Linked DNA regions of Cricetulus griseus. The protein of the gene in region 1 interacts with the protein of each later gene in a pairwise test. Links are inferred from orthologs where the notes say so. Each region holds a gene or a part of one and is shown in the gene's direction. Other genes may lie near its edges. The genes, in order: Sqstm1, Snca, Trim63, Cdc37 and Rad23a.

Region 1 (3,514 bases):
TTCCCTTTTTCTCTGAGGAACTAAGCAGGGGATGACTCACATGCTAACTGCCTCTAATGGATTGTGTTAGCAGAGGCCCAGAGGGAAAGGAGTTGGCACAGTCTCTCAGAAGGCAGAGGTTTGGGGTGAGCCAGAGCCAAGGCCTTTTATTGGTAAGTTCTGTGAGAACCAGCCAAGGAAGGCTGCTACTGTGGACCAGTACTGTGTTTGGCTCAGAGGCTGTGGTCACTGACACCTACAATACAAAGTAGCAGGTCCTTCCTTGTTACTGGGTCTTTGACAAACACAGGCTTTGGGGACAGCAGGCCACAGACCATCAAACATTATTTGTGAGCCCTTCAGTCTTGGGGTTTCATTATTCCATTGAGAAACCCCCAATTCAACATCTTTTTGATCCTGTCCTGCACCTGCTTAGAAAAAATGGGGTGTGGATGTTGGGGATGGGGCTCAAGGGACTTTTCGGTTTGCTTGAACCATCTATGTGTATGGTTCTGGAGATTGAACCCAGAGCTGTGTTTGTGGTTGGCATGCACTCTACCCACATGGTAGGGTAGAACGGACTCCTGAAGGTTTTCCTCTGACCTCCACACACATATAAATGTAAAAAATAAAAAAAAAAAGATGAAATGGAGGGCAGGGAGTAACCCACAGAGAGAGGCGGCTGCACAGGGAACCCTTGTAAGAAGCAAGACATGATGGCACATGCCTTTAGTACCAGCACCAGGAAAATGGTTAGGCAGAGCTCTGAGTTCAAGGACAGCCTGTTTTACATAGGAAATTCCAGGCTATCCAGAGCTACATAGTGAGAAACCTGTGTCAAAAAACAAAACAATCCCCACTGGACTGGTACCATTAAGGGTGAGAGGGAGCGACAGGCCAAGGCACAAGAAAGCAGCTAGAAGACCTTTCATAAGAGAGTTAGAGAGCTCCAGGCTCCACCCAGCACTTTCATGTTCAGTACTTGAAGTGCCTCTCTCTGAGAAGCTTCTGCCACATAAGCTAAGGCACCAGCCTAGAAGTGGGCATCAGGAGTGAGCAGGGGAACAAGGGGCCTAGCATTTCAGCCCCACTGGCCTGACAACAGCTGAAGAGTCCTGCTGAGGGGAGGCCAGCCAAACACCCTGGCAAAGAACACCAGCTCCTGGGACCTGGGTTTCACTGATGCCTGTCTCTGGACATCGGCATATGTGAAGCTGGCAACTGCCCTGGTCCTGCAGGCGGAGCTTCTTGCCAGTGCCTCTGGGATGGCTGGCCATTGAGGAAAGCCTCCGAACCTGGGAAAGTGTGCTAGGATGAGGACAGAAAAGTACTGGATTTATGAGAAAGCAGGTGCCATAAAAAATGTAGCAAAGGAAACAACAAGAAAGTGCTAACACTGAGTGAGGGGGCTGGAGGTGACTTAGTAGTTAACAGCACTGGTACTTCTGCAGAGGTCAGGTTCAACTCCCAACACCCACATGGTGGCTCACAACTGTCTGTAACTCCATTTCCAGGGGATCTGTTGTTCTGTTCTGACCTTCATGGGCACCAAGCACACAGGTGCACAGATACATATATACAGGGAAAACACCCACATAAAAATTAATGTTACTATTTTTTTAAAAAAAGCTGAGTGATAGAAGGAAGGCTTAGGTTCAGAGACTATCTCAAATGAATACAGTCAGCCCTCTGGGGATTCCATCCGTGAGAATTTAGCTGACCTTTGCTAGAAAATACTAGGGGGAAATCCCATGTGCATTGACAACTTAGAGGAGGGCCTTGGCCACTGAAGGTGCTCTCCAAAAGCCAGACCTGATGGGCGACTGAGAGCCCTGAACCACAGAAAATGAAAGACTCTGGAGAAGAAACAAGAAGTTAGCAAACAAAAGGAGAGAGAGACCCTTGACAATAGAGAGGACATACAGCCCTGTGCACAGCAACATTTACATAGCACGTTAGTAGTGTTTTTTGTTTTGTTTTTTTTTTCAGTCAAAGGTAGCTCTTAAAAGAACAGGGAAAGGGGAGGTAAATACTGACACAGTAGGAAATAAACAGATGTGGGGGCTGAAAGTGGGGGATTCTGGAGAGTGGGAAGGAACTGTTAAAGCTGTGTGTGTGTTGTCCTTGGTACATTTAGTTTGTGAGCAGCACAGGTGAAGCTGCCTGTCCTTATTCCCCCACCAGACATGAGCAGGCTGGTAGACTGGCCACACACGGAACTGAAACTTGGAGTTCAGGTGTGTAATTGTCGCATCATGAGATCCTGTGTGTTGTGGCATCCAGCAATCATGGTTAGGTGTTCTGCCCATGTATAGTACTAGCCCTCCTGCAGCCTGCTTTCCTACTGGGTTGGGAGAAAGTTCCCTCTGGGGACTTTGTGGGTTAGGGGAAGGGAAAGGACCAATGTGATAGGCTTGTTAGCAAGTTTGGGTTGGAAGGAGGAGCTCAGCTGGCCCATGGGGGTTGTCACATGGTTACATGGTTATGTGGCCCTGAGGTTGAGTCTAGCCTCTGCATCCTTATGCTGACTGCCAGTGTCCCAATCCATATGTGCTGTGAGGGACTAAGTCTGAAGCACTTCCTAAGTCCACAGTGCCCAACTCACCGAGTCACTGATGTCACAGGCAGGGGAGGCCTCTGGACTTGACAGCTTGATTCCTCCTCCTGCTCTAGGCATTGAGGTTGACATTGATGTGGAACATGGAGGGAAGAGAAGCCGCCTGACACCCACCTCCCCAGAAAGTTCCAGCATGGACACAGAAGACAAGTGCAGCACTCAGCCAAGTAGCTGCTCATCAGAGGTTAACAAGCCTGACGAGGCAGGCGAAGGCACTTCACAGTCCCTGACAGAGCAAATGAAAAAGATCGCCTTGGAGTCAGTGGGACAGCCAGAGGTAGGTCTGCTTTCTCCCACTAGCTTTAACTGACCTGCTTGGCATCTTGGCTTCAGCCCAAGCCATTCTGCAGCCAGAGGGATCCTGTCCTTCCTGTTATCCCTGTGGTGTCTCCAGTCACTCTGAGCCTTCAAACAGAACTCTGTTGAGAAAGACTTTCTTGGATCTGGAGCGGTAACTCATTATGAGGCATTTACCTGATATACATGAGGTCCTCGGTTCAACCCCTATCGTTACGGGAAAAAAATCAGACAGACATGTCCTTTGCAGGCAGCTCTCTTTGCCATACTTTGCTGGGAACAGATCGTGGGGTCCCACTGGTCAGTCACTTAGACCCCTGTGCTCACAGCAGGTTGTATTCTAGGAACAGATGGAGTCTGATAACTGCTCAGGAGGAGATGATGACTGGACACATTTGTCTTCCAAAGAAGTGGACCCGTCCACAGGTGAACTCCAGTCTCTACAGATGCCGGAATCAGAAGGGCCAAGCTCTCTAGACCCCTCACAGGAAGGACCCACAGGGCTGAAGGAAGCTGCCTTGTACCCACATCTCCCACCAGGCATGTGGTCACCAGAAGTTTCATTTTCCTTTGCTTTCAGAGTATCCTAGCCCAAGTCTGGTTTTGGTAACACAAAATGGG
Region 2 (3,514 bases), on another chromosome or scaffold:
CTTTGGTGATGAACAGCAATGTGGAAGTATAATCTGAATAAAACCCTTTCTTCCCCAACTTGCTTTACGGTCATACTGTTTCATCACAGCAGTAGAAACCCTAACTAAGATAGTAGCTAAATTCTCTTTTGATCATTATTATAACATCTTTAACCACAAAATAGAAGTCATTTATTAAACAGACAGAGCACTAAAAGGTTTGTTTCCTTTTGTTTTTTAAGGCAGTGCCAATGAGTAGATAAACTGTAAACCTTAAAGACAGAATATATTCCTACAGATGTTTATAATTTTATCTTTTTAGCCATAGCTATTATTATACTACCATATTCTGTCATTTTATAATGTTCTTTATTATTTTTATAAAACAGTAAAATGGAAATCACGTATAAATTATACTTACTGTACAATTTTTGTGTTTTAAAAATAACAGATTAAAGTTTATATTTATATAAAGAAGTGTGCACATTAAGTAAAGTTTATGGTTGGCAGAAAACATGAGGATGTAAAAAGGCAAAGCCTATTTTGTCTTGCTTTGAGATGTTTTAACAAGAAAATGTTAATCTCAAGCAAATTTTTAAATCATATTCTTGGAAGAAAAAGTAACAAGCTGAAACAGAGTTCAGTATAATTCCAGTGCTGTTTAAAATCAATTTTTCTAATATAGCTCTGCTCTGGCCTTTAAAATTACTGTGAATATCCAGTGCTCTTCAAGTAGCACACTGAGGGGCAGGGATTCCATAGGCAGACTTAGCTCAAACCTGAAAGGCAGCTATAGAGTCACCTATGTGAATTCTGGTTGCAGTCTGAGTGACCTTCAGGCTTCCCCACACTGCTTGGTCTAAGGGGTCAGCTGTGACTTTACAAGCCAACTAAACTTCATTTCACAACTTGTTCCTTCCGAATTAATTTTCATTGTCCACATTATTGGATTATTTGTCTTTCTGGCTGATGACATGAAATCTGTATAGTGCAGTAACCATGTGAACAGTTGATGTGGTGTGATTCCTCAGCTCAGGCTACGAGGATACAGGCTTCTCAGGAGATCCTGAAGAAGAACATGCTTTTTTGCTCAAGAGAGAAAACACAGGAGGAGTGGGGACTCAACAACCTAATGCTGATATATGGGGCAAAATAAAAAAAAATTGTAGAGTAAATGAAAGGCAAACATGACATCCATTCGAATGAGAGTTGGGAGACATTTGCCTTTGTGGATATAGGATTTAGAGGTTCAGGTGCAGACAGGTTCTTTTACTTTTTCACTTAGTATTATTTAAAAAGTGGGCTCTCATGTCTTTCACTCCTTGCATGGAACTATGGAGTTAATGGAAATACATTTGATTTGCATTAACTGAAATTTTGTCTTAACATTTTTGTTTGGCTGGAGGGATAGCTCAGTGTGAAGAACACTTGCTCCTCTTCCATAGGATCAGAATTATGTTCTCAGCACCCATGCTGGGAGACCTTCATTGTCCCGTAATTCCAGCCCCAGGGGATCTGACAACACTATCTGGCATCCTTGTGCACCTGCACACATGTGCACATAACTGCCCCAAGAGACACAAGTACACATAATTAAAAATAATCTTTTAAAATAACTATCTTTTTCTTTACCATGTCTTTTTCTATCACCTATTTCCAAATCATTCTAGGAGCATGTTTGAACACATAGGGCCTCCTTATCAGAGGTGCTTAAGGAACACTTGCTTTAGATTTCAATTATTTTTGATTTGGGGATAAATGCACACTTATAATGAGTTGTCTTGGTAATAGGACGCAAGTCTAAACATGAAATTCACTTATACTATATATACCTGTACATATTATCTGAGGGCAATTTCATATTCTATTTTAGAATAATTCTGAACATGCAACAAAGTTTATGGTTGAAATTTTCTGCTGGTGGTACGAATTGGTGGTACGTGAAAGTGAAAGATTTAGGAACATTTTGAATTTTGTACATAGAAAACAGTGAATCTAGATGTGGGAGAGGCATGTACTTTGAGCAGATAATGGAAGTGAACTTTGTAAATGAGATCAAATAGTTGGCATCGAAACTGAAATAGTGCTCAAAGAGTCTGACAACTTAATACTGTACCTAGTGCCTTGTTTTCTGTCTATGTGCCTCAAGGCAAACCAAATCTTGTTTGCATTGTGTTATAACTAAACTCTCAAGATTTTCTAGTCTATACATAATTGTAACACAGACCCAGTGTTTGGCTGCACCCTGTTGGTTCTCCCTTGGTGTCTTGTTTCTTCAGACTCTTGCTATCTATGGCATGGGTGTATGTAGAAGTTGACAGCTATTGGAAGCAGAATTAAGGTCTGCCACACCACTATCTTTTAATGTTGTTGCTCTTGATTTTCTTAAGTGGCTGAGAAGACCAAAGAGCAAGTGACAAATGTTGGAGGGGCAGTGGTGACTGGTGTGACAGCAGTTGCCCAGAAGACAGTGGAGGGAGCAGGGAACATTGCTGCTGCCACTGGTTTCGTCAAGAAGGACCAGCTGGGCAAGGTAAGGCTGCTGATTTGTACAATGATAAACCAAGTACACCAAGATTCCTTACAGGTATCAGAAAGCAGCCATTGGATGCGCACTGGGGGGAAGGATTGCACTTTTATAGGGCTCTTATTTTGACATGCTATGGAAAATGTCATGCACATTGTACAATATCCTTGATTGTTTGAATTTCTGAAAGAAAGCTACAGAAGTGAACAGTACAGTAAGTGCTGAAGAATTGGTGACATTTCAGAAAGAATGGCTGCTTTCATATGGATGATGGGTCTGGAATTCCTCTTTGTGGAAATAGCAATTTGTTTCTCTGTCTAATTCCTAAATTTCCAGAAAGAAGATCTTTTATTTGATTTCTTTGTAATGATCCAATCTCTTATTATATGACATATTTGCATATCAAATATCAATTCCTTACCAAATATATGCTTTTGAAAACTGAGAGACTTAAAGTACATACCAAACACAGATCATGGTTTCATATGGTGACTCTTACATTTCTAGAATTTTAAATTGGCTTCTGGATAAATAAAGGGCTCTAGTGACATATTCTAGGTATAAAAATGGAGTCTCTTACCAGAAAAATACATGATCATGTACTAAAGGACAAATATAAAAAGAAGGCCATCAACAGAACATCAGCTTAAAACTATTTCTTGATTTTACAATGAGGAATGCAGAATTCACAGCGGGGAAGTGAGCATCATTTTCCTGTAGCCTGTTGGAGTTACCTGGATGACCCTACACACATCTATCTGAACTGTCACTTCCCTAGCCATATCCAACACACAGCTTCCTCTGATGTGTAGATTGAATTATGCAATACTAAAGTTAGTGGAAGAATTTGTTGCTTTGGATATAGAAAGGCTGGGAATCATGTCTCATTTATTTCCCACTTAGCTTGCATTTAAAATTTGCAATATAAATCACAAATGGGTCATTAAAAACACTTTATGTCAACTTGGGCTTGTTTTGTACCTTTAAAAAATACCAATCCTTATTTTA
Region 3 (3,514 bases), on another chromosome or scaffold:
TGGTTGGGACAGCTCTGAGAGACACTGAGGCTTGAAGAGTAAGATCACACAAATCAAGCAAGTGTTTGACCCCGATACCTGACCGCCAGGGAGGGAGGGAGTTTCAACAGCAGGTCTGCTCCATCTTGTTTTACACCCTGGGGCAGAGCAGCAGGTGGCACCGGGGAAACCCCCACCATCACAGCCACCTCAGTATGAGGTCCCTGAGCTCAAAGATGAAAACAAAGCCAAAACCAAAAACCAGCCTGGATAGGGGCTCCTGGAGGGGGCAGTGAAGTCTGGGGTGCTACAGCCATGCAGGGCTGCTGGGAGGTGAGACATTGATACTGATGGGGACAGTCAGTTTGAGGTTTAGGAGATGCTTACATGTTAGGGGCTGGCATCAGAGGTAGTGTAGACATGGCTGCTTACCCTGAATGGAGCCAAGTTCTGTCTCACTTGGGAGGTAAAACCTTGACTAAAACCCGAGTAGATGCTGGGAAAGACTGATGCTAGAGAGGAGCATGCCAGGCACCCTAAGCAGAAAAAGCAATAAAGGGAGAAAGGTCCTAGGACAGCAGGAAGAAACACTTAGGCCAGCAAGATGGCTCAGTGGGTAAAGGTGCTTGCCGCCAAGCCGTCAACCCGAGTTCTACCCTCAGGACCCATATGGTAGAAGGAGAGAACAAACTCCTTCAAGCTGTCCTCGGACCTCCATCGTGTGACGTGGTGCAAACATTTACCCCAGCATACACGCATAGTCAATAAAGGCATTTTTAAAAATAAAAAAGAAGACGGGCAGTGGTGGCTCACTCCTTTAGTCCCAGCACTCGGGAGGCAGAAGCAGGAGGATCTCTGTGAGTTTGAGAACAGTCTGGTCTACAAGAGCTAGTTCCAGGATAGGCTCCAAAGCTACAAAGAAACCCTGTCTTGAAATATATATATATATATATATATATATATATATATTAGATATATATGGGCCCCATGAGGTCAAGCTTTGCACGGGGCTGCTACACAGCCCTGCCCCCAACCATGTGCTGTTTGTCTGGCTTAGGGTGTACATACTGTCCCCTTCTCCTAACCCTCGGACACCCTCAGGATGTGTTTACTCGTGTATTCTTCCTCCTTGCATTTCATTTCCACGGTCTCCACGCCAGGTACTGTACGTTATAGACGCAGGGGAGAAAAACAAGCAGGCTTCCCAGCCTAGTTGAAGGCTATGGTCTGATAGATTAAATATAGACATAAGGGTTGCCATCAAAATAAGTTGCCCAGGCCCAGCAACCAAGAGCTATGGGGCTATAATTAGAGCAAAGGCGTTCTAACCTCCTCTGCCTCTGTGCTGGGCGACCTTGGGCAAGTCTGTTCATTTTCTGGGACTCTGTTGCCTCTTCCTTAAGGTCAGCATCTTCTGGTCTGACTCTAGAATTCCGGGGCCCTCCCCGGGCTCCCTGTACCAACTCAGGCCAGCCCTAATGCTGGAGTCTGAGTTTAGGTGTCATTAGCCAGGTTTGGTGTCATTAGCCTCCCTGATCTTGGGCTCCCAGAAGATAAAACAAAGACTGTTTGGAGCAGGTACACACTGGGAACTGGCATGTGGATGTGGTGGCTTCCTGTTCTTGGATTTAGCAAGGGACAGTTAGAGGGGACATCCCTAACTTGTGGTTCTTCTCCCCCTCAGTCGGCCCCTGCAGAAAGGCAGCCACCCGATGTGCAAGGAGCACGAGGATGAGAAAATCAACATCTACTGCCTCACGTGTGAGGTGCCTACTTGCTCCCTGTGCAAGGTGTTCGGGGCCCACCAGGCCTGTGAGGTAGCCCCGCTGCAAAACATCTTCCAGGGACAGAAGGTATTGACTACAAACACTGTGCCCAGATGGATTTGACCCTTGTGGATGTGCTGAGCCGGCCTTTCAGGAATAGTCCCTCTGGAGGGACTTCCCAGGCCACAGGGACAGCAGCCGTTGCCTCCCTGGGGGAGGTGGCTGAGCTCATGGGTTATACTTAGAGCTACTTGAGAACACCTGGGTGTGGCCATAGGGAAGAGGCCAGACCCCAGGGACAGGCCACCAGGCCCTTCCAGGCCATGGCTTCCCCTCCTGTGTACTCTGGGGTCCCATACCTCTCCACTTGGGCCTCTCATGTAGCACAAGGCAAAGTCGAGGTTCTTCCCTGGGCCCCTGGCAACCCCAGCATGGTGTCTGTAGTAAGCTGTAGCCCTTCCTGAACTCTGTTCTCCACATGCCACTTGGCTCTTGGACTTTTGTCTTCTAGAACTTTCCAATCCTATTCCTTTTCTCAGAAATTAGCAGCCAGGGGGTATGACAGACAGCACAGGCCTTTAAGCATAGCACTCATGAGGCAGAGGCAGGTGGATCTCTATGAATTTGAGGCCAACCTGGTCTACATAGTAAGTTCTGGGCCAGCATAGTAAGACCCCAGCTCAGAAAAGAAGAAGAAGAAGAAGAAGAAGAAGAAGAAGAAGAAGAAGAAGAAGAAGAAGAAGAAGAAGAAGAAAGTTTTCTTCTGTTCCTTTGTCAGTATCTTGCTGTGTGTTCTGGGGTGCTCAGTTTCTCTCTCTGGGTCTCATCCGTCCATAAAGGATATAGCATCTGTATTAGTCTCTACTTTAGACCTTAACTGCACCCCAGAAGGAGGGATAGCAACCCTATTGGTGACTCTGTCAGAGAAGCAGCCGGCTCTGAATCTATTTCTGTCTCTCCTCTCTCACCCCTCCCATTCAGACTGAACTGAGTAACTGCATCTCCATGCTGGTGGCAGGGAATGACCGAGTGCAGACTATCATTTCTCAGCTGGAGGACTCCTGCCGAGTGACAAAGGTGAGGGTGCTGAGTGGCCCTGTCAGCGCTGAGGCAGAGTGGACACCTCAAGTGCAGCTGGTCTCTGGGAAAGGCCTAAGTTGTGAGTTTAGGTTGGGGTTTAGGGCCTTGGGTGTCCAATATAGATGGCAGAAAAAGGGCACAGCCATTCCCCCACTCACTTGGCAAATAGTTCATGAACATAGCAGTTATGTCAGACCCTGCCCAAGGTCAAGCCAGACCCAATTGGTCCCTGACTGCAGGGACCCACCAACTCCCTGAATGTCTCTAGCATCAATCATTTTGCTGCAGAGCAAGGTTCCTGGACCTTTAAAAGTTCACTTGACCCTGGAGCCTGTGGAAACTCAGGTTCTGATTCGGTAGATCAGGAATGAAATGGGATTCCACACTTCTTCATTTATTATTATTTTTTAATGTATATGGGTGGTTTTGTTGTTGTTGTTGGTTTTGGTTTTTCAAGACAGTGTTTCTCTGTAGCTTTGGAGCCTGTCCTGGAACTTGCCCTGTAGGCCAGCCTGGGACTCAGAGATCTACCTGCCTCTGCCTCCTCAGCGCTGAGATTAAAGGCGTGCACCACCACAGCCCAGCCAGGTGTTTTGCCATGTGTGTGAGTGCCTGAGGAGGCCAGAAGAGGGAGTTGGATCCCCCAGAACTGGAGTTACATGTGGTTTTGAGCCACCATGTGGTTGCTG
Region 4 (4,231 bases), on another chromosome or scaffold:
GCACTCAGGAAGGCAGAGGCAGGCAGATCTCTGTGAGTTCAAGACCAGCCTGGTCTACAAGAGCTAGTTCCAGGACAGCCTCCAAAGCCACAGAGAAACCCTGTCTCAAAAAACCAAAAAATAAAATAAAACATCTGGAGCTGGAGTTACAGACAGTTATGGACTGCTATGTGGGTGTTGGAAATTGAACCTGTGTCATCTGGAACAGCAGCCAATGCTCTTAACTGCTAAGCCATCTCTTCAGCCCCTGAAATGTAATTTAAAAAAATAAATTTTAAGGGCAGACCCAGTGTAGTGGAGCATGATTTCAATACCAGCATTGGGAGGCAGAAGCAAGGAGATCTGTGAGTTCAAGGCCAGCTCAGTCTACATAGTGAGTTCGAGGACAGCCAGGGCTACATAGTGAGACCCTGTCTTGAAAAAAAAAATTTTTTTTAAGAGTAAAAATCGGGGCTGGAGAGATGGCTCAGAGGTTAAGAACACTAACTACTCTTCCAGAGGTCCTGAGTTCAATTCCCAGCAACCACATGGTGGCTCACAACCATCTGTAATGAGATCTGGTGCTCTCTTCTGCTGTGCAGGCATACAAGCAGGCAGAATGTTGTAAACACAATAAGTAAGTAAATAAATCTTAAGAAAAGTAAAAATCTGTCGGGCACTGGTGGTGCTCGCCTTTAATCCCAGTACTGGTGGGGGCAGAGGCAGGTGGATCTCAACTCATTCCAGGCCAGCCTGGACTACAGAGCTAGTTACAGAACAGCCAGAGCTGTTGCAGCTGTTGAAACCCTGTCTCAACTCCCACCCCACCCCTAAAAAAAACCGCAAAATTTCACTCTTTTCTGTTTGTTTTGTTTTTCAATACAGGGTTTCTCTGTGTAACAGTCCTGGCACTCGATTTATAGACCTGCCTCTGCCTCCTGAGTGTTGGGATATAAGGCGTTTCTTTTTGGTTTTTCGAGACAGAGTTTCTCTGTGGCTTTGGAGCCTGTCCTGGCACTCGCTCTTGTAGACCAGGCTGGCCTCAAACTCACAGAGATCCGCCTGCTTCTGTCTCCCGAGTGCTGGGATTAAAGGCGTGCGCCACCAACGCCCGGCTCAATTTTGATTTTTTTGAGACAGAATCTCACTGCGGAGCCCTGGCTGGCCTGGAACTGTGTCGATCAGGCCTGCCTAGAACTCGCTGAGAGTGGCCTGACTTTGCTTTCCAAGTGCTGGGACTACCGTGGGCCGACAACCCCTAGGCAACTACCTTTTTTGTCCCCAGGGGATGCTCGGTTGGGTTTCGGCGGGAACTCCCAGAAGGCTGAACAACGTGAGCCTGGCCCTTTAAGAATCACCTCCGGTCGTCAGTGCCGCCGAGTCCCGTTGCTAAGGACGTGACGTCACGCGCGGATGCTGGGGCGGGGCCGTCGTGCGCGGCGCCGTGAGCGGAAGCGGAAGGGGCGGGGCTCCGCGAGCGGACTCTCTATCCCTTGTGGGTCCCTGTTCAGCGCCCGGCCGTGTGGAGCGCCGGGAGCCAATCCGGGCCTCCTAGGCGAAGATGGTGGACTACAGCGTTTGGGATCACATCGAGGTGTCGGACGATGAGGACGAGACGCACCCCAACATCGACACGGCCAGCCTCTTCCGCTGGCGGCACCAGGTGGGGCTGTGCGCGCGCATCCCCTTCCCCCCACTCCCGGGACCCCCCGCTCTAGAGTTCTGACCTCTTACCCTGGCCGCCCTGGTTCGGGCGGGTCGGGGGAAACTCAGTTATTGACATCGGGAGCCTCCTATTCCACAATCTGAACTTTCTGTCTCTCTTATTTTTTAAAAAAAATCGAACCAGGATCTCACTATAGCCTTGCCTGGCCTGGAACTTGCTATGTAGACCAGGCTGGCCACTAACTCACAGAGATCCGCCTGCCTCTGCCTTCCCAGTGCTGGGATTAAAGGTGTATACCGTCATGTGGCCTGGACTGTTAAATTCCATCCCAGGACTTCAGGATCACTGGGCTTCCTAACTCTCCACGGTCATCTCTGGGCTTTCCCCGCTGCTATCTCTTTTATTTTATTTGTACATTTGTTTGTTAGTTTACTTGTAGTGGTGTGTCTTGTGTGCTCGTGGCACAGCTTGTATCTGTAGATTAAAGGACAGTTAACAGAAGTCAGGCCTCTCCTTTCACCACGTTGGAACTGGGCATGGAACTTAGGTCACCCCAATTTGCCACAAGCACCTCCTATACACACTGAATCTTCTTATCAACTCCTAATACTTTCATCAGAGTCTAGACTCTCCAAACGCCGGCCCTTGTGAGTAGGGGTCCCCATCATCCTGTATGGAACCTTTTTTTCTCCTCAGAATTCTTTCTCGGAGTCCAGAACTCAGATTCTGTTAGGCTCTCCCTTGTTCTAGCCATGTGCCCACTGCTGATTGAACACCTCCCTTCTGCCTCTTCTCAGCCCCTGGAGTCTGGGTCCACGATACTTTTGATTTGATTGGGGCATCTACTTCCCAGGATCTTAAGCACAAATTTACATTAAGGCCCAGAGATACCCTGCCCCCAACTCCCAAACTGAATGAGAACTGTGTCTTACACTTAATTTCCCGATCTTAGCTTTCCGCTGGGATTCCACAACCCAGGGTCCCTTTCCCTGGAGTACAGACCAGAATCCCACTGGGGACTTCAGTCCCACCTAGGACTTCTCTCCATGTGGCCTCCAGCTCCACTGCTGCCCTGTGGCTTCCCTTACTCTTGCCTCCTGTAGACGCTTTTCCCCTTATTCCAGGAAACCCTACCCACTTAACTTCCGTCCAGAACCTCTGCCTGCTCCTTTATAGTAAGTAGACCCCCATCCTGTCCCTGGCTCCTGTATGAACTTTGGCCATCATTGAATACTCACCAAAATAGGAGCCGGGCAGTGGTGGTACACGCCTTTAATCCCAGCACTAGGGAGGCACAGGCAGGCCTGTGAGTTCCAGGTCAGCCTTGTTTACAGAGAGAATTCCAGGACAGCCAGGACTACACAGAGAAACCCTGACTTGAAAAACAAACAAACAAAAAACAGAAAGAAAGAAACTCACCAAACCTGAGCTCAGAACCCCAAACCTATTCTATCCTTCCCACCCTTTCCCCTGCAGCCTCCTTGGCTTCTCTGCAGTGTTCAAATCATCCTACTTAACTGGGGGAATCTCCTGGATCTTATCCCAACATCACCTTACTTCCTGAGCATGATGCCACATACCTTTAAACTCAGGTCTTGGGAGGTAGAAGTAGGAGGATGAGAAATTCAGTCAATCCTTGCTACATGTTAAATTCTAGGCCAGCTTGAACTACATGAAACACTGTCTCAAAAACCAAATAGGCTGGTGCTCAGTTGTGTGTCATTGCCTTGCACTGTGTCTCCAGCAGTGCTTAAAAGCTAGCCATGGTGGGACAGGCCTGTAGTCCCAGCACTGTGGAGATGGGAACAGGAAAGTCAGAAGTTCAAAGCCTTCAGCCACATAGTAAGCTTGAGGCTGGCATGGACCACATGGGATCCTGTCAACACCCAAGCAAATAAAATAAAATCCTACACATTTTTTTACATCTGTCCAGAACAGAGTCCCCCAGATTCAGACCTTAGAATCCCGTGTGTTTGAGCCATGGTTTTCCACCCCTCTTCTGCCCGGCATTGACCACGGGACAGTAGTGTACTACCAAGATCTAAGGGTGGTCTGGAGATGTGGTTTAGTGATAGAGCTCTTGTGTGGCATGCAGGAGGTCCTGGGCTCCATCCATAGCACAACAGTAAAGAGACAAGGGTCTAACCTGCTCTCCCAAATCACAGCATCTATATCCACCTACCTGTGTGCTATACCCTGTGCTTAAATTGTATTTTATTCATTTGTGTATACACTCCTGTATGTGTAAATGTACATGTGTAGTCCACGGAGGATAACTTGGTGGAATCTGTTTTCTCCTGCCATGTGGGTTCTGGGGATCAAACTCAGGTTTTCAGGCTTGGTGGCAGACCTTTACCCACCGAGCCCTCTCATTGGACCCTGAGTTTGTTATACTCTCAAGCTTAGGGCAGGTACTTTCTGGTTAGGAATTTTGCACCCCATCTTCCTGAGGGCAGCTCCTGCTCATTTATCTGGAAGCTCCTAGAAGGTCCTCCCTGTCTCCCCCAAATTAGTGTCTGTCCTCCACCCAATTCACACACCCATTCCTTCCAGTTTCCTAGGATGACTGCCTGCCAGGCAAGCTGC
Region 5 (4,174 bases), on another chromosome or scaffold:
TTCACCATATATCCAGGTCTGGCCTGGGATTCCCTTCTTGCCTTCCCACTGCATCAACATACCTGTCCCTCCCTCCCTTTTTAAAAAAAGTTTTGACAAGAGTTTCACTGTGTAACACTGGCTGGCTTAGAACCCCACAAGTGGTCTGCTTCCTCAGTGCTGGGGTTAAAGGCATGTCCTGCCACCACACCTGCTGCCCTACAGGGTGGAAGTAGAGTCCTGTCCAGAGCCAGGGCTGTCAGAAGTTACTGCTGACCATATGTCTTTCCATTCTTCCCCAGGTCAAGTCTGGCACAATCTTTGACAACTTTCTCATCACCAATGATGAAGCCTATGCAGAGGAGTTTGGCAATGAGACATGGGGTGTCACCAAGGTGAGCTGGGTTCCTGCTTCACTGGGGGTCAACTGGGAGAACAGGCAGGCAGGCAAAAGCCAGGTACTAAAAGGTGTCTGTGCCACAGGCTTCAGAAAAGCAGATGAAGGACAAGCAGGATGAGGAGCAGAGGCTGAAGGAAGAAGAAGAAGACAAGAAGCGTAAAGAGGAGGAAGAGGCTGAGGACAAAGAGGATGAGGATGACAGAGATGAAGATGAAGAAGATGAGGATGAGAAGGAGGAAGATGAGGAGGATACTACCCCTGGCCAGACCAAGGATGAGCTGTAGAGGCCATACCACCTGCCTCCAGGGCTGGACTGAGGCCTGAACACCCCACTGCAGAGCTGGCTGCTCCCAATAATGTCTCTATGAGACTCAGGAACTTTTCAGTTTTTTCCAGGCAGGTTCAGATCTGGGGTGAATTCTGATTTTGTTTCCCTGCCTCCCCCCAACCTCCCCCCTCCCATTTTTTTCTTTTTTTACTGGTGTTTGTCTTAATTCTCCTTTAGCCCTCAACCTCCTGGCTTCTCATTTTGAATCAACATCTTTCCCTATGTCCCTTTTCTCTATCCAACCCCTGGTCACAACCCTCCCAACTTCAGGAACGGGTGTGGAGGAAAAGTCCTAGGCTTGAGATTTCATCTGCTCTCCTTCTTGGATCTCAGAGGAGTGCAGGAGAAGGGGGTGGTGTATCCCTCCCCCAGCACTGAGGAAGAATGGGGGTCTTCTCATCCCCGTTCTCCCTTGCCCCCAGGACTGGGCCACTTGTGGGGCAGCCAGTTCTAGCACAGCTCACACTGAGAGTGTAAGAACTACAAACAAAATTTCTATTAAATTAAGTTTTGTGTCTTCCCTATCGTGTCTCCTTCTCTGGGAGGATTACGTCAGGGAATCAAAGGTGGCCTTTTGAGGTGCTGGTGGCTCATGTTTGAGCTATTGGAGTTGGCGGAGTCCAACAAAGTGACATGGCTGCATATGATATGTATCCTGTAATCTTAAGTAGGAACGCAGCTGTCAGGTTTTGATGCCAGGTCTCCCTGTAGTAATTCCCTTGTCCTGGCAACAGACATGTGATTGACAGCCTGGTGCTGACTACTGGGGCGGATATTTGAACCTTAATCTTAACCATCTATTGTTGGTTTCCTTTCTGAAACTACTACATAAGATAGTTGGGCAAATTCAAACCTCACATTAGTGGAGTAAATGCTGGTAGCTCATTTTATAGTCAAAGAACTAAAGTCAAAGATAGTGAGTGGCTTAACCCAGCGGCCAATATTTCTAGGACTAAGCTGATAGAAAAGGGATTGGTTTAAAGATTGGGTTGTGTTCCGTTGGAGATGGCTTACCTGGCATGCCCTACCACAGGAAAAAAAAGAAAATGGGATTCGGGTGACTGATGGGGTCTCAAGGTTTCCATTTTAAGCTCCACTGAGTAGGTTGGAAGGTGGGCAGGAGGCCTGTGTTATTAGAAGGAAACTGATTCGCCCTTGGCAGAACCTTGCTCAGGTGACCAGAGGGAGGCAGGCCTTTGGCAAGTGCTTTGTCACTGGTGTGGCTAGAAATATGGCAAAGCAAGCTCCAAAGTAGTGAGTATTAAGTGTTGATGCCTATGTTGTATTTACTGAGAACTTTAGCTTCTTAAGTCACCCTCAAGATGCCCCAGCTTCCCAAGTCTGACATTTCATTACCTTTTAGTATGTGGTGGTAACCTAAGGCTTGTAATACCCCTTACCTCCCAGAAAAATAGGTGCAAGCAAGGAAAGTCTATGGGAGGAAGAATGAAGTATTTAATACAAAGGAGCCTTGCACATATTAATACTTTTGAGGTGTTTAATAGTTATTGCAGGACCATGAAGAGGTAGGGGACCCATGAACTAGAAGTCAAAGCTTATTCCAAAAGTGATGATAGTCTTGAAAATGGAGCCACATAAGTTACCATTTTTACCTTTGAGATTTATAGTAACTTCACTTTCTTCTAGGCTTGAGTAATTAACAGTGCTCTGTGGGATTTTTTAAATTTTTGCCATGTCCGAAATAGGTCAATAATCCTATAACAAATACCTTAAAAACTTGGAGGTGGAAGGGGGGTAGCTCAGAAGCCATTTTACAGGCATATGACATCACTATTAGGCATGACATCACCCAGACCCTATGATGTCTGTTCCCACAGCAAAAGCTCAAAGCTGAGTTTGCGCATGTCTAAGGTAAGGAAGCGTTGCCGCGCATGCTCTAGAGGTCGAGGGGGTCACAGGCGGGTCATATACACTGACGATTTGCGCGCGCTTCCCTCTTGTCCCGGAAGTGCTTTCCCTACGGCACAGCTGGGCGCTAAGATGGCGGCGGCGTGAGTTGCATGTTGTACGAGGATCCTGGGGCTGCCGCATTGCTCCGGCCCCGCCATGGCCATCACCGTCACGCTTAAAACGTTGCAGCAGCAGACCTTCAAGATACGCATGGAGCCTGAGGAGACGGTGCGGGCCGGAGCCCGGGGGCGGGAGCGACCGGCTGTCGGTCGGGGTGGGTGGGGGCAGGGAGGCCCGGATCCAACGGGAGGGGCGGGGAGGACTTGCGGCCGGGCCCTGCTGCCCTTTCCCAGCGACCCGACCTCCTCGCACCCCCCTTCCCATCGCCCCTGCCCTGCCCCGGGGCTCAGGCGCCCTTCCCGGGTTGGCCCCAGGGCGAGTCCCCAGTCCCGCTCCTGTGCCAGCTGCCGACTCCGCATTCCCAGCCTGCAAGCCGCTCGGGTGACCACGTTTGGCGTCAGTGGCCAAGAGGTGCCAACTGGTGACAACAATGTTGATAATAATAAATGGTCTTAATCTTAATAGTTTTGGTGGTCCGTGTTTGTTGGCCGTTTATTCTTTGCCAGTGTCGTCTTGCTGAATCTGCAAAATAGTGTTGTCCTTTGGGGACTCCTAACTTTCCCCGTTTGACAACCTCAGAGTTAAGGAAGTTTGCCATGGTCACAGCAAGTAATGGAAGAGACGGGATTAATTTTTTTTTTGTTGTTTTGTTTTATGTAACAGACAGCAGCCTAAACTTGCTGCATGAACTTTGTTTGCTTTTGCTTTTTGAGAGTGAGGTCTTGTTTTGTTGTCCAGTGCTGCTTTGAATTTCTGGGCCCAAGTGATAGGTATTGCCTTAGCCTCCCAAGTAGGTGATACTATTGTTTGAGCCACCTCCCCTGAATCTTCTCAAATATACTATGAAGCCACTGCTATACCCTTAGTGAAGTCTAGGCATAGTGGTCATGTCTATAATCCCTGAACACTGAGGCCAAGATGGGGATTGTTTTAAGTTCCAGACCAGCCTGAGCTATGTAGTTAGGCCAGCCTGGAGTGCAGAATAAGACCATTTCAAAAAAGGAGGGGGTAAAGGATTTCCTCAATAATTACAGAACAGTTAACTTTTTGTGGCCAGCAGTGGGTATACCCTTTCATTTCCTTTTTACTGTTTCCCTTCTCAACAACATGACATCTGAAATACAAGTTTGCTTTTTTTCTCACATCAAGGTCTTCTCCATGAGAACAGTGACTGAATTCTGTTTTGTTCTGTTCCACAGGCTGTTGTAAAACAGGGTTTGGGATGGAGCTCTTGTAGAACAATTAGGCCACCACAATCACACGCACATACACACACAACGAGCAGCATAAGTGTCTGGCCTGTAATAGATTGCTGTCGACTGGCCACATTGAGTAGGAGTCTCTTATGATTGAGAGCAAAGCTTTTCCCCTAAGGTAAAAGGGTCAGGAAAGGTGTCTTTATTTTATCTGAGACAGTTTCACTATATAGTCCTGGC

What was found.
Region 2: the proteins of Sqstm1 (region 1) and Snca interact in binary tests that used the Homo sapiens proteins (3 or more experiments, as listed by UniProt). The link is inferred for Cricetulus griseus from reciprocal best matches to the Homo sapiens genes SQSTM1 and SNCA.
Region 3: the proteins of Sqstm1 (region 1) and Trim63 interact in a two-hybrid assay, tested with the Homo sapiens proteins (2 studies listed by BioGRID and IntAct). The link is inferred for Cricetulus griseus from reciprocal best matches to the Homo sapiens genes SQSTM1 and TRIM63.
Region 4: the proteins of Sqstm1 (region 1) and Cdc37 interact in binary tests that used the Homo sapiens proteins (3 or more experiments, as listed by UniProt). The link is inferred for Cricetulus griseus from reciprocal best matches to the Homo sapiens genes SQSTM1 and CDC37.
Region 5: the proteins of Sqstm1 (region 1) and Rad23a interact in binary tests that used the Homo sapiens proteins (3 or more experiments, as listed by UniProt). The two-hybrid records come from large-scale screens. The link is inferred for Cricetulus griseus from reciprocal best matches to the Homo sapiens genes SQSTM1 and RAD23A.

Annotation. Positions count from the first base shown.
Region 1 is NC_048600.1:64,660,052-64,663,565, reverse strand, and holds part of Sqstm1 (sequestosome-1), read left to right. Parts: intron 1-2,652; coding exon 2,653-2,873; intron 2,874-3,237; coding exon 3,238-3,433; intron 3,434-3,514. UniProt on the Homo sapiens protein: Molecular adapter required for selective macroautophagy (aggrephagy) by acting as a bridge between polyubiquitinated proteins and autophagosomes.
Region 2 is NC_048601.1:81,930,556-81,934,069, forward strand, and holds part of Snca (alpha-synuclein), read left to right. Parts: intron 1-2,369; coding exon 2,370-2,512; intron 2,513-3,514. UniProt on the Homo sapiens protein: Neuronal protein that plays several roles in synaptic activity such as regulation of synaptic vesicle trafficking and subsequent neurotransmitter release.
Region 3 is NC_048595.1:18,970,582-18,974,095, reverse strand, and holds part of Trim63 (E3 ubiquitin-protein ligase TRIM63), read left to right. Parts: intron 1-1,663; coding exon 1,664-1,832; intron 1,833-2,726; coding exon 2,727-2,822; intron 2,823-3,514. UniProt on the Homo sapiens protein: E3 ubiquitin ligase. Mediates the ubiquitination and subsequent proteasomal degradation of CKM, GMEB1 and HIBADH.
Region 4 is NC_048597.1:134,007,015-134,011,245, reverse strand, and holds the start of Cdc37 (hsp90 co-chaperone Cdc37), read left to right. Parts: upstream 1-1,428; 5' UTR 1,429-1,540; coding exon 1,541-1,642; intron 1,643-4,231. UniProt on the Homo sapiens protein: Co-chaperone that binds to numerous kinases and promotes their interaction with the Hsp90 complex, resulting in stabilization and promotion of their activity. Inhibits HSP90AA1 ATPase activity.
Region 5 is NC_048596.1:159,529,357-159,533,530, forward strand, and holds the start of Rad23a (UV excision repair protein RAD23 homolog A), read left to right. Parts: upstream 1-1,373; 5' UTR 1,374-2,774; coding exon 2,775-2,846; intron 2,847-4,174. UniProt on the Homo sapiens protein: Multiubiquitin chain receptor involved in modulation of proteasomal degradation. Binds to 'Lys-48'-linked polyubiquitin chains in a length-dependent manner and with a lower affinity to 'Lys-63'-linked polyubiquitin chains.